Macaca mulatta: one gene and its partners. The protein of the gene in region 1 purifies or fractionates together with the protein of each later gene. This does not show direct contact. Links are inferred from orthologs where the notes say so. Each region holds a gene or a part of one and is shown in the gene's direction. Other genes may lie near its edges.

Region 1 (4,267 bases):
CTTAAAGTCTCAATAAACGTTAAAGCACAGATAGTAAGTAATCTGGCAATAGAGTATGGGCGCCCAGCATACTGCCTACAGACCGCCTACATAATCAGTGGAGTCCAGTGCAAGTTGAAAATGCCAGGCACTTGCTTTGAAATTATTGATAATTTCAAGACCGTTAACAGTAGAACATTAAACCAAGCATTCAGGACCCTTCTAAGCGCAGAACCCATCAAAGCTAGCCCTGGTGACAAGCTCAGGCCTCCGGGTCTGGAGACTAGAAGACGTCGCCCGAAAGCTGGCCAAACCCTCGCCCTCACTGGGAGAGACCCCAGGAGGGCCCAAGAGGGCCACGAGCCCTCGCTCCCATCGCTGCCCTCAGGAGCGGGCGGAGGGAAGCTCGCAGCTTTCCCAAGGGAGTGCAGGCTGCGGGGACTGAAGTTCAGCTCGGACCCTGGGCCTCTGAGCCGGAGACAGCAAGGTCATTCAACCCCACACACTTCCCCACCCAGCCAGGCCGAGGTTCAGAGATATGGCAAGTCCCGGCCTTGGACTCATGCTTGTTACTCATAAACCCGCAAGAGGGGGCAGGAGGGGGCAGGAGGCGGCGCGCGCGCACCCCGGACTCACGGCCGGGGAGGGAAAGGCACTGTGAGGACAGAGGGTCTAGGGAAGGTCTGCAAATCCCGAAGGGCCAAGGGAGCGTCTAAATGGACAGCGGAACCGGAAAAGCTTTGAGAGAAAGATGCGTGTATTAGGGAACGTCTGCAAAGACCGCGGCAGAAGACCAGGAATTGTCTTAAAAAATTGCCGAGCAGATAAAGGGAGGTCTAAAAGGAGGCCGTCTCAAGAGCAAGGCTTCGAAAAGCTAAGCCCGGAAGGACGGTGTGGAAGCCTACTGGGACGCCGAGCACTCCTTAGGGCAGGACCGACTGGAGCTGCAGCCAGCGACAGGAGAACGGCTCCAGCTCGACGGGGGAAGCAGTAGGCTTAAAGAGGAGGCCCCTGGGCACTGTCTGAAAAGTGCGATGCCAAATGATCTTTAGGGACCGACAGTAAATTGTATCCCTTGCTAAAATACCTCTCGGTAGCGAACCACCAAACGTTTCTTTTTTAAGCCCCGCCTCTCAGCCATTACGTCTAGTTCGGCTGTCTCTGAGCCAGGAAGTTGTCAGTTCCCACTTACTCCTCCCCAACAAGAGCTAACAGCCCTCTTCGGGTGAGCACTTTCTCCTCCCCTCAGGCCCCTCGCGCATTCTCCCGCTTACCTATCAATCATCGCGCTCCGCTGTCCAGTTGGCGGGCCAAGGGGGCGGGGCCGTCGTGTGACGTTTGCAGCTCGCCGGCCGGGAAGCCGCGAGATGCGTGACGAGCCAGGCGCGTGACGGAGCAGCGGTTGGCCAACGCAGTGGCTGCAGTCGGTGTAAACAAGGCCTCGCGCCGCTGCGGGTCCTGCGACCGCTCCTGGCTGGTGGGTGGTCTCTCGTGGGGCAGTAACCGCCGGCTTCAGTGGGAGGTGCTTCTCGGCTTCCTCCCCCTCTTGGCGTACACACCCCCGGCGCACCACGTGGGCGTGAGGCAAGGAAGGAGGGGAGTTAGGCCAAATTCTATTTTCATTGGTTGTTATTGCTGCCGGCTTTCGTAAGGAGGCGCTCTGATTGGTTGGTAAGGGGGGGGTGCCGAGGGTCTTTGAGTCGTAAGGCTTCTCATTGGTTAGATGAGATAAGCTAGTGAAGCGCTTTCTTCCGCGAGGGATTTCGATTGGTCTGTCAGAGAGGTTACCTGGGAATCCTACACCGCCCAACACCTCTCCCGCTCCCCTGTCCAGGGACTGCGATAGGTGAGTTTGGTGTAGAAAACAAATCTTTCTTCAGTTGGTGAGCTAGGGTAGCGCACTACGGTTCACTCTTGCTTTCTTTGCTTCACAGGATTGGGGAAGGTTTGTGTTCCCGACGCCTTGGTAGTTGGCATAGGCTAAAGCAAAGGGATCTCAGCCCCGAGGGAGGGTCACCCTCCTAGAGATAGCTACTACCCCGTCTCAGGAGACCCTGGTATTTCTAGAGCACGCTTTGCTTTCACCAAACCCAAGGAGGTGACAGGCGGAGTCCTCGCACAGTACCTAAGGATGCTGTGACCAGAAGATGGGATCACGGAACAGCAGCAGTGCAGGATCCGGGTCCGGAGACCCCTCCGAGGGCTTGTCCCGAAGAGGGGCTGGCCTGCGTCGGAGTGAGGAAGAGGAAGAAGAGGATGAAGATGTGGATCTGGCCCAGGTACTGGCCTATCTCCTCCGCAGGTAACTTACCCTCTGGTGTGACCCTACCAGGTGCTACCACAGTGCCTTGATCCCATCTCCAGGCAGGAAAATTACAGAGGTTAGGAAATAGGATTCACTCAGGACAGCTGTTCTGTTTGAGCGGAACAGCCTTTCCCTGCTGGGCACCCATGGCACTCAGCTTCATACCCAGTAAGAGTGGTTCTTACCTAGGGAGGGTCACCAAGAGGACCTGCTCATGTGTTTGAGAGGCTATTCAGGGGAGCCTCTCTCTGTGACTACACAAATATAATCTCTTTTCCAAGTAAGTTTGAAAAAAAAAAGGGTGGGGGGAGGTTCCTGGTGGGAAAGCAGTGATATACGGGGGTGAAGAGATGGAAAGGGAGTGTTGAACTTTTTGGTAAGTCAGTTGACACGTGATATGAGGCCACTTCGATGAGGTCACTTCGATTTACTTGAAAAACAAGTTTAATTTGCCCTGACTCTGACTTGTTCTTGAGGAAAGAATGCCTTGAAGGGAGAGACCACCTGGAATTGACTGGAAAAGAGTGCAGCTGCCTTGCTTTCTTTGCTTATGGCTCTTTGAGGAGAAGATGAGCTTAGGGGTCCCATCAGAATATTGTATTCTTTTTTGTTTTTGTGTTTTGTGTTGTTTTTAGTAGACATAGACAGGGCTCACTGTGTTCCCCAGTCTGGAGAACAGTCTATTCACAGGTGTGATCACAGTGCACACCACAGCCCGCAACTCCTGGGCTCAAACAATCCTTGCCTCCCAGTTAGCTAAGACTACAGTTACACACACTACCACACCCAGCTTAGAATATTGTCTTCTGTGGTGGACTTCTCAGGCAGAGGCTCAGAAGGAAATGCTGTGAGAATGTTTAGCTCGTTGAGAGGTCAACTTAGTAGGTCATGTCCACAGCGTATTAGTCTTGCTCTTGCTCTAAGGAAATGCAGTTAGAATGTTTAGCTCTCTGGGAGGTCAACTTAGTAGGTCACGTCCACAGCATGTTGGTCTTACTCTTGCTATAAGAGTAAGACTCACTTTCCTACTGTGTTTTATAGGAGACCAAAAAATAACAGCCAAGGTCTAATCAGCCTCCAACCTCAAAATGAGTACCAAGTGGTCTAAGAGCTAGATAGCCATTTACTCTGAATTTGGTTGGTTTGGGGGAAGAAGTCCCCTCCTTTATAATGGGGGTCTCTCCACAGAGGCCAAGTGAGGTTGGTGCAGGGAGGAGGTGCAGCAAATTTACAATTCATTCAGGCCCTCTTGGACTCAGAGGAAGAGAATGACAGAGCTTGGGATGGTCGTCTTGGGGATCGATACAACCCGCCTGGTAAGAGGAAAAGTCCCTAATGTTGGAAGACTTTTACTGGAAAACCTTTTAGTGATATTTTGAATGATAGGTTACATTGAAAGAAGGTACGATAATTTAAGGAATAAGGAGTCCTTACAGCCCCAGTATATTCAGCCACAGGGGTGGGCTTGGGTACAGTTCTGCTAACTGTCCTCTGAGGCTGGAAGACCTAGGATGAAACTTCTACTTGGTACTCACAGTGGATGCTACCCCTGACACCCGGGAGCTGGAATGCAATGAGATCAAGACACAAGTGGAACTGGCCACAGGGCAGCTGGGGCTTAGGCGGGCCACCCAGGAGCACAGCTTTCCTCGAATGTTGCACCAGGTAGGCCTCTCCACCTCCCAGCCTGGCAGCAGGCCTGCCAAAGCAGCCAGAATCTCTGCCAGCCCCAGAGGAAAAGGAAGTCAACTTTCCAAGAAAGAAGCCTCAAGGGCCGGGGCTGGAGAGTTAACCAGCCCCCATTGGAGTTCTGTGGGACGGACAACGATGTGTTGTGTCCGTTTCTATAACAACAGCAGTGTCTTTGGAGGAGGGGGTTTGATATGGCTGAAGTGGCCCTCTATTTCTGCTAGCAATATTCCCCAATCCCTTCCATTTAGAGAGAACGGGGCCTCTGCCACCGGGGAAGCTTCTCCCTTGGAG
Region 2 (4,083 bases), on another chromosome or scaffold:
GTTGGCCAGGCTGGTCTCAAACTCCTGACCTCAAGTGATTGGCCAGCCTCGGCCTCCCAAAGTGCTTGGATTACAGGTGTGAGCCACCATGCCTGGCCTTGTGGGGTTATTTTCGAAAGTCCTTGAGACAGTCCCTATATCAGACATGCAAGCATGAGCCCTTCTGCTTGGTGTTCTCATGACTCCAATTTGTTTGGACTTGACAATGTGATTTTTGTCCTGGTATCTGCAACTTTCACAAGATGGAGCAACTCAACACCAGATTCCATCCCAAATTATTCCTTCATTCACTCAAAAAGTATCTAGGCACCAATGTGTTAGGTACCGTGTTGGTCACAGGGGATACCACGATGAACAAGAGAAGGAAACACAGGCTCCTGAATGCGAGAGTGAGGCATGTGGAAAGCAGACACGGAGAGCTGGGTGTGGTGGCTCATGCCTGTAATCCCAGTGCTTTGGGAGGCCAAGGATGGAGGATCGCTTCTGTCAGGGAGTTGGAGACCAGCCTGGACAACCTAGTGAGACTCCTGTCTCTATCAAAATAAAAAAATAATAATAAAATTAGCTGGGTGTGGTGGGGTGCACCTGTAATCCCAGCTACTCGGGAGGCTGAAATGGGAGGATCACTTGAGCCCGAGAGTTTGAGGGTGCAGTCAGCTGATATCAGGCCACTGCACTTCAGCCTGGGCGACAGAGCGAGACCCTGTCTCAAACAAAACAAAACAAACCACCACCACCAGACAGACATGAGGGCCAGTGCAGCTGTAGCCTGAAGATCAAGGGCTAGAAAAGTAGAGGCCAGACCGGGGCCAGATCAGGCAGGGCCTTGCAGGCTGTGGTTAGTTGTCTGGATTTTATTGTGAGGGAAATAACACGACATGTCATTCATTCTGCAACAGCCTTAAGAACTAGGAGTTCTTATCCCAATTTTACAGACGAGGACGATCAATCAAATCGTTAACTAATTTGTCCAAGGTCACCCGCAGGCGACAGGCGGGGACAGGGTCTGGGAAAACCGGCAGGCACCGAGGCCCAGAGGGCGTCGGGCTTCCCTGCACCGAGTGCCGCCCGCCGCGACCCGGGAACTGCCTGCTCCCCGGACGCCAGGCCCGCCGCTTGCCGCGGAGACACAGAACATGCGCTGCTCGCCTTACGGAAGCCGGGAGGGAAGGGGGCGGGGCCGAGGCTGGCGGGCGCGGGGAAAATGGCGGCGGCGGCGGCGGGTGCAGCTACAAACGGGACCGGAGGGAGCAGCGGGATGGAGGTGGATGCAGCAGGTAACGGGCCGTGCGCGGGCGGCTTCCGGAGACCTCCTTCAGGGGTGCGTTGAGGCCTTGCTGTGCTCCCGGGAGAAGGGAGGAGGGCGGAGCAGCAACATCTTTCTCTGGGATAAGTTGCGGGAGGAAAAGTGTGGCCCGGGCTCCGTCGTCCCCCACTGCTATCTGCAGGGAAGAACGTGGGGCCCGGACTCTCACCCTCTCTCTTTCCCTCCACCCTTAGTAGTTCCCAGCGTGATGGCCTCCGGAGTGACTGGGAGTGTTTCCGTCGCTCTCCATCCCCTTGTCATTCTCAACATCTCCGACCACTGGATCCGCATGCGCTCCCAGGAGGGGCGGCCTGTGCAGGGTGAGTGTTGGGCATAGACTCCAGTCTCCTCTCCTTGCTCACCTCCCCCAGACAGTGGTCTTTTCCCCTTCCTTTACTGGATCCAATTCCCCTCCCCCAAATCATCGTTTCCCCAATACTTGGTTCCCACTCATCTTAGACCCTCAGGTCATAGAAGTCTCTTTAACGTTACCTTTTCCATGTCATTCTCTCCCAGTGATTGGGGCTTTGATTGGCAAGCAGGAGGGCCGAAATATCGAGGTGATGAACTCCTTTGAGCTGCTGTCCCACACCGTGGAAGAGAAGATTATAATTGACAAGGAATATTATTACACCAAGGAGGAGCAGTGTGAGAGTGGAATAGATGTGGGGAAGAGGAGTGGGAGTTAAAAAAAATGTGCAAGGTGGGGAAGATGGAGAGGGTTGGAAAGAAACCCGAGAGGACGCCAAGAACAGAGGAGAAAAAGTGAAGAGAGTAGCTGGAGAGATCTCAGAAAAAGAACACGTTCAGAGTTCTTTCTCAAAAAGAAAGTAAAGGATGAGAGAAGACAGGATAGAAGGGAGTAATTATTCTAAACTGAGCCAGGATTTGAGGAAGGAGGAGAAGCTGGTGAAAATACACCAGGAGTTTCACATTGAGGAAGGATGGTTTAAAGGACTATGTCAGGCCGGACGCAGTGAATCAGGCCTATAATCCCAGCACTTTGGGAGGCCGAGGCGGGTGGATCATGAGGTCAGGAGTTACAGACCAGCCTGGCAAACATAGTGAAACCCCATCTCTACTGAAAATACAAAAATTAGCCTGGCATGGTGGTGCGTGCCTGAAGTCCCAGCTACTCGGGAGGCTGAGGCAGAATTGCTTGAACCTGGGAGGCAGAGGTTGTGGTGAGCCAAGATCGTGCCACTGCACTCTAGCCTAGGCAACAGAGCAAGACTCAAAAAAAAAAAAAAAAAGAATTACTGTGTGTTCTGGCCCTTTCCCCTCCAGTTAAACAGGTGTTCAAGGAGCTGGAGTTTCTGGGTTGGTATACCACAGGGGGGCCACCTGACCCCTCGGACATCCACGTCCATAAGCAGGTATACATGCTCACACCTGTGCATGCTGGGGCAGAGAATGGAGAATGAGGGGAAGGAGAAAGGTGGGGGTCACTGACTTCTGTGCATTGTCCCTCTCTTCCAGGTGTGTGAGATCATTGAGAGCCCCCTCTTTCTGAAGTTGAACCCTATGACCAAGCACACAGATGTGAGTAATACCCCATGCCTACTCTGTCGTGATTGTCACTGTTGTCTTTTACTGTGTGATACTCTTCTATTGGGGAATGCCAGGTGCCACTTACCAGCTGTAACTCTGTCTTAGTCATTTCATCTCCAAACTGTGAAGGGAGGTAATCCCTACTTCACTGGTTTCTTGGGAAGATGAGATGAGAGGAAATGGGTGAAAGCAGCTCGTCCAAATGTTGGCATATAGTGTTCAGGTTTCTCCATCTCCTTCACAGCTTCCTGTCAGCGTTTTTGAGTCTGTCATCGATATAATCAATGGAGAGGTAATACCCTACCCTTGAACCCTCAGATCCTGCTCTTGGCCTCTTTCCTGCTTTTGATTCTCCCTTTGTGGGTTACCTTGCCTTGTAGGCCACAATGCTGTTTGCTGAGCTGACCTACACTCTGGCCACAGAGGAAGCGGAACGCATTGGTGTAGACCACGTAGCCCGAATGACAGCAACAGGCAGTGGAGAGAACTCCACTGGTAATGGAGGGGATTACTTGGAAGTGGGGTTGGAAGGTGTGGCCACATCCCGTCTCAACCTCCTCCTGTCCTCGTCCCTTTGCAGTGGCTGAACACCTGATAGCACAGCACAGCGCCATCAAGATGCTGCACAGCCGCGTCAAGCTCATCTTGGAGTACGTCAAGGCCTCTGAAGCGGGTAGGACAGGGGCTTCCTTGGGCACTTCCCTGGCATTCTTCCTCTCCCTCCTGGGGAAGTGACAGCATCCAAACTAATGCAGCCTCTTTTTGTGCCTTTAGGAGAGGTCCCCTTTAATCATGAGATCCTGCGGGAGGCCTATGCTCTGTGTCACTGCCTCCCGGTGCTCAGCACAGACAAGTTCAAGACAGATTTTTATGATGTGAGTTTAAAACCTGGATGGGGAGGTGGGGCTCATGCTGTCACTTTCACGTGGAGGACCGGGGACTGTTGTTCCCTGGGCATGCCACGAGGGATCCCCTGAGGAATTTGTCCTTTCTGTTCCCTCCCAGCAATGCAACGACGTGGGGCTCATGGCCTACCTCGGCACCATCACGAAAACGTGCAACACCATGAACCAGTTTGTGAACAAGTTCAACGTCCTCTATGATCGACAAGGCATCGGCAGGCGAATGCGCGGGCTCTTCTTCTGAGGAGGGTACTTGAAGGGCTGATGGACAGGGGTCAGGCAACTGTCCCAAAGGGGAGGGCGCTACACTTGAGAGAAACCGCT
Region 3 (3,601 bases), on another chromosome or scaffold:
AATAATATGTTGCCTATGCTAATATTGAAGATAGCTAACATTCCCTGGGCATATATTAATTTATGAAGAAGTTTTTTGTTAGCCAAGAGGACTAAAGTTTACTCTGGAATGTCTATGATTGTGATTCATTTTGCTGCTGATCATCAAGAGTTCACTCATTTAACATTATGGAAAAGTATGTGTACACGAAAATAGAATAGTATCATGAACTTTTCCCCCTATCATGTACCTATCATCTGCCTACAGCAGTGATCAGAATTCACTGATTCTTGAGTATTGAAACCAGTTAATAAATAACCAAATAAGCTTTCAATACCAGTACAGTGAAAACTGTTTTATATCTTTGAACTAATTTTGTCTCTTGATTTGAGCAAGGAAGAAATCCACAAAAAGAAATAATACAACAAAACTTAGTTATGGAGGAAAATAGGAATTTAGCTTCAATTCTCAGTAAAGACAAAATGAGTTTCCTATGTGCTTTAATCTAATAATGTTATTCAGAATTAAATGTGTGGATTTTATTATTTGACAATTGCTGCTTCAAAGCCCTGGAGCCCTAATTAGCATGGGAACATGTGGTAAGAAGTAAAGCAAACCTCTTCAGAAGTGGTATTGTCAATTAATTTAGGTTATATGTGTTTTTTATTTTAGGGACATGGGACTGGAGTTATTTAGGGCTCATATTATAAGTGATCAGAAAGTCCAGAATAAGACAATTGATGGCATTCTTCTCTTGATTGAGAGGGAAAGGAATGGTGAAGCAATTGATAGAAGTTTACTTCGAAGCCTTTTAAGCATGCTGTCTGATTTGCAAGTAAGTTAACTACTACACATACTATACAGAGCTGATTGCTTTTCCTAGTTTTTTTTTCCCGATGTCAGACAGGTGATGTGCTGATGTCATAACAATGTCTGAAGGAAGCACATCTCATACATGAGCATAAAAACCCAATCATCATGCTTCTAAACTACAAAAGGATCCTAGCTTGATGTTTAAAAACCAAATTCATAATGCTGTTTACATAGACATAGAGAATATTTAGTAAATATTTACTAAATAAATGATCTCCTTCATTTTGTTGCCCCTCCCAGATTTATCAAGATTCTTTTGAACAACGATTTTTGGAAGAAACTAACCGGCTCTATGCAGCTGAAGGCCAAAAATTAATGCAAGAAAGAGAGGTATTTAAAAATCATGACTAATACATTCTCACTGTCTCTCACAATAGACCTTACTTTGTAGAATATAAGCTTCCCTTTGCATTTATCTTCCCAACATTGTGATGCTCTTCTCTCACTTAGGTGCTCCTTTCTTTTCTCTCTTCTTAAAGGCCAGAATTCTGGATCATAAACTCTACCTATAATTTTTACATATGATTCTACCCTGTCACATTTGACAGGGCCGCTTCCAGGATCTTTTGGACTTGACATTTTCTGAGTGATTTATGGGGAGGAAAACAATAATATAAAAAACTATCTTTGTAGGTTCCTGAATATCTACATCATGTTAACAAACGTCTTGAAGAAGAAGCAGACAGACTTATTACTTACTTAGATCAGACCACCCAGTAAGTATTACATGCTGAATTTAATAGTCTTAAACTGTCGTTAAATCACTTGCAGCACTTTAGCCATCCTAAACATGTTAGTAACTGTTTTCAGGTGTGATTTGAAGTGTTAACAGTTGTTTTCATAATATAAACTTGAAGTTATTCTTTTCCCTAATTAATTAGTTTTCATCCAAGGATTCGATTAGGAGTGGGTGGGGGTGTGTGTGTGTGTGTGTGTGTGTGTGTTTAGAATGTAATTTAGAAATAATATTAGAGGCTGATGTGATCTTTAAACTCTTCAGGCCAATTAAAATTCAGTGGATCCCCCCATTTTTGTGCTTTCCTAAGTGTTAATATTGTCAGTCGGGGGGCTTCTGTATGTAGTATTTCTTTACCTTCCTAATAAAAGTAGCAAAACTTGGAAAAAACCAACTACAACAAGGTCTTGGAGATATTTATTTCATGATGTAAACCAAATTCTAAAATATGCAGTGGTTTTTAAAAATTTTTGCCTGTCTATTCCTTTATGTTTTTTTCTTTTAGGTGTAAAGTATAGTAACTCTGAGCACCAATAAATTTATACATAGGATAGGAATCTTGAAATTAACATAAAATGAGCTATTTGATTCCACCCCCCCCTTCAGGAGAGGCTTTACATTTTCTGGAAGTCAAACATCAATAATGCTAACTTTTTTTCCTCGTAGGAAGTCATTAATTGCTACTGTAGAAAAACAACTTCTAGGTGAACACTTAACAGCAATTCTTCAGAAAGGTAATTGGCAATTTGTAAATAAGAGATTGCTTTTTAAATGGTAGTGGCAAACTAGTAGGGAATTTTTAAAGATGTTGCCCTTTTAAAAGTTTGACAGCATGTGGCTGCATTTCTGAGGATGGACACAATCCTTATTAATCACAGTAAACTTCCTGAAGGTGCCAGTTTTCTTATCTGAAAATACAGGAACTAGAAGAGAGGGATCCACAAATACCAATAAAAAAACAGTGGTTGATATGTGCCTGTAGTATCAACTACTTGGGAGGCTGAGGCAGGAGGATTGCTTCAGCCCAGGAGTTTGAGGTCAGCCTGGGCAACATAGTGAGACTCTCGTCTCTTTAAATAAAAGAAAAGAAAAGAAGTGGGAAATTCTTGACTTAATATGTTAGCTTTCAGTAAGGAAAGGTATTCCTTTTTACACTAAAGTGGTGAGGGTTTTTTGTTATTGTTAATGGCATGTCAAACCAAGCACTTCTAATCCAAAGTGAATTTGGAGTATACCCTGCATTTTACTTTGAGAATGCCACAAATAGGTAAAAACTTTACCTTTCTCTTCAACAATATTTTCTTTGGTATAAAAATTTATATATTTAGAAATTTAAGGCAGTTATACTGTTATTTCATCCTGAAAATCAAATATTTATTAGAGCCTCATTTAAATTTGACTTAATTTATGCATGGCTTTTGATATATCACAGGCCATATCTAATATTCTGAAATATAACTATGTACATAATATGGCTACTACATATATGAGGTATTTATAATGTATATTTATGTAAACCAGTTTTTATAAGTTTGTTTTTGCCTCTATCATGCTGAATGGCACAAACCATTATGGAGTTAACCATTTTTCTTTTTCTTTTTAATTTTTTTAACTTTTTATATTAAAATAGACAGGTGGGGGGAGGTCTTACTATTGTGCCCAGGCTGGTCTTGACCTCCTGGGCTCAATCGATCCTCCTGCCTTGGCTTCCCAAAGTGCTGGGATTACAGGTATGAGCCACCGTGCCTGGCCTGTTTTTATTTTTATAGTGACTAAAGTCTCTATATTTAGTTTTTACCCAGAAAGATGATTGGGTTTAATTCAAAGGAAATCTTAGAACTCACATACAGACTAGTCATAGTTCAAACCAGTATCACAATAATGATTATAACTCAAATTTTATTAAAATGTCTGATAATCTTGTTCACTTTTTTGTTCACTATATTTTAATGCCAAAATGTTTTAAAATACAGGTTTAAATAACCTCCTTGATGAAAACCGAATTCAAGATTT

What was found.
Region 2: the proteins of DCAF11 (region 1) and COPS6 purify together in Homo sapiens (affinity purification with mass spectrometry; 6 studies listed by BioGRID and IntAct, counting the BioPlex papers as one, with this or other methods). This does not show direct contact. The link is inferred for Macaca mulatta from reciprocal best matches to the Homo sapiens genes DCAF11 and COPS6.
Region 3: the proteins of DCAF11 (region 1) and CUL4B purify together in Homo sapiens (affinity purification with mass spectrometry; 9 studies listed by BioGRID and IntAct, counting the BioPlex papers as one, with this or other methods). This does not show direct contact. The link is inferred for Macaca mulatta from reciprocal best matches to the Homo sapiens genes DCAF11 and CUL4B.

Annotation. Positions count from the first base shown.
Region 1 is NC_133412.1:97,231,866-97,236,132, forward strand, and holds the start of DCAF11 (DDB1- and CUL4-associated factor 11), read left to right. Parts: upstream 1-1,427; 5' UTR 1,428-1,825; exon of another isoform or gene 1,826-1,913; 5' UTR 1,914-2,126; coding exon 2,127-2,281; intron 2,282-3,472; coding exon 3,473-3,600; intron 3,601-3,821; coding exon 3,822-3,949; intron 3,950-4,224; coding exon 4,225-4,267. UniProt on the Homo sapiens protein: May function as a substrate receptor for CUL4-DDB1 E3 ubiquitin-protein ligase complex.
Region 2 is NC_133408.1:47,395,925-47,400,007, forward strand, and holds the start of COPS6 (COP9 signalosome complex subunit 6), read left to right. Parts: upstream 1-1,182; 5' UTR 1,183-1,204; coding exon 1,205-1,277; intron 1,278-1,500; coding exon 1,501-1,626; intron 1,627-1,822; coding exon 1,823-1,954; intron 1,955-2,593; coding exon 2,594-2,682; intron 2,683-2,785; coding exon 2,786-2,848; intron 2,849-3,101; coding exon 3,102-3,149; intron 3,150-3,237; coding exon 3,238-3,352; intron 3,353-3,437; coding exon 3,438-3,530; intron 3,531-3,631; coding exon 3,632-3,732; intron 3,733-3,862; coding exon 3,863-4,003; 3' UTR 4,004-4,083. UniProt on the Homo sapiens protein: Component of the COP9 signalosome complex (CSN), a complex involved in various cellular and developmental processes.
Region 3 is NC_133426.1:126,941,821-126,945,421, reverse strand, and holds part of CUL4B (cullin-4B), read left to right. Parts: intron 1-651; coding exon 652-814; intron 815-876; exon of another isoform or gene 877-980; intron 981-1,092; coding exon 1,093-1,182; intron 1,183-1,485; coding exon 1,486-1,568; intron 1,569-2,254; coding exon 2,255-2,322; intron 2,323-3,561; coding exon 3,562-3,601.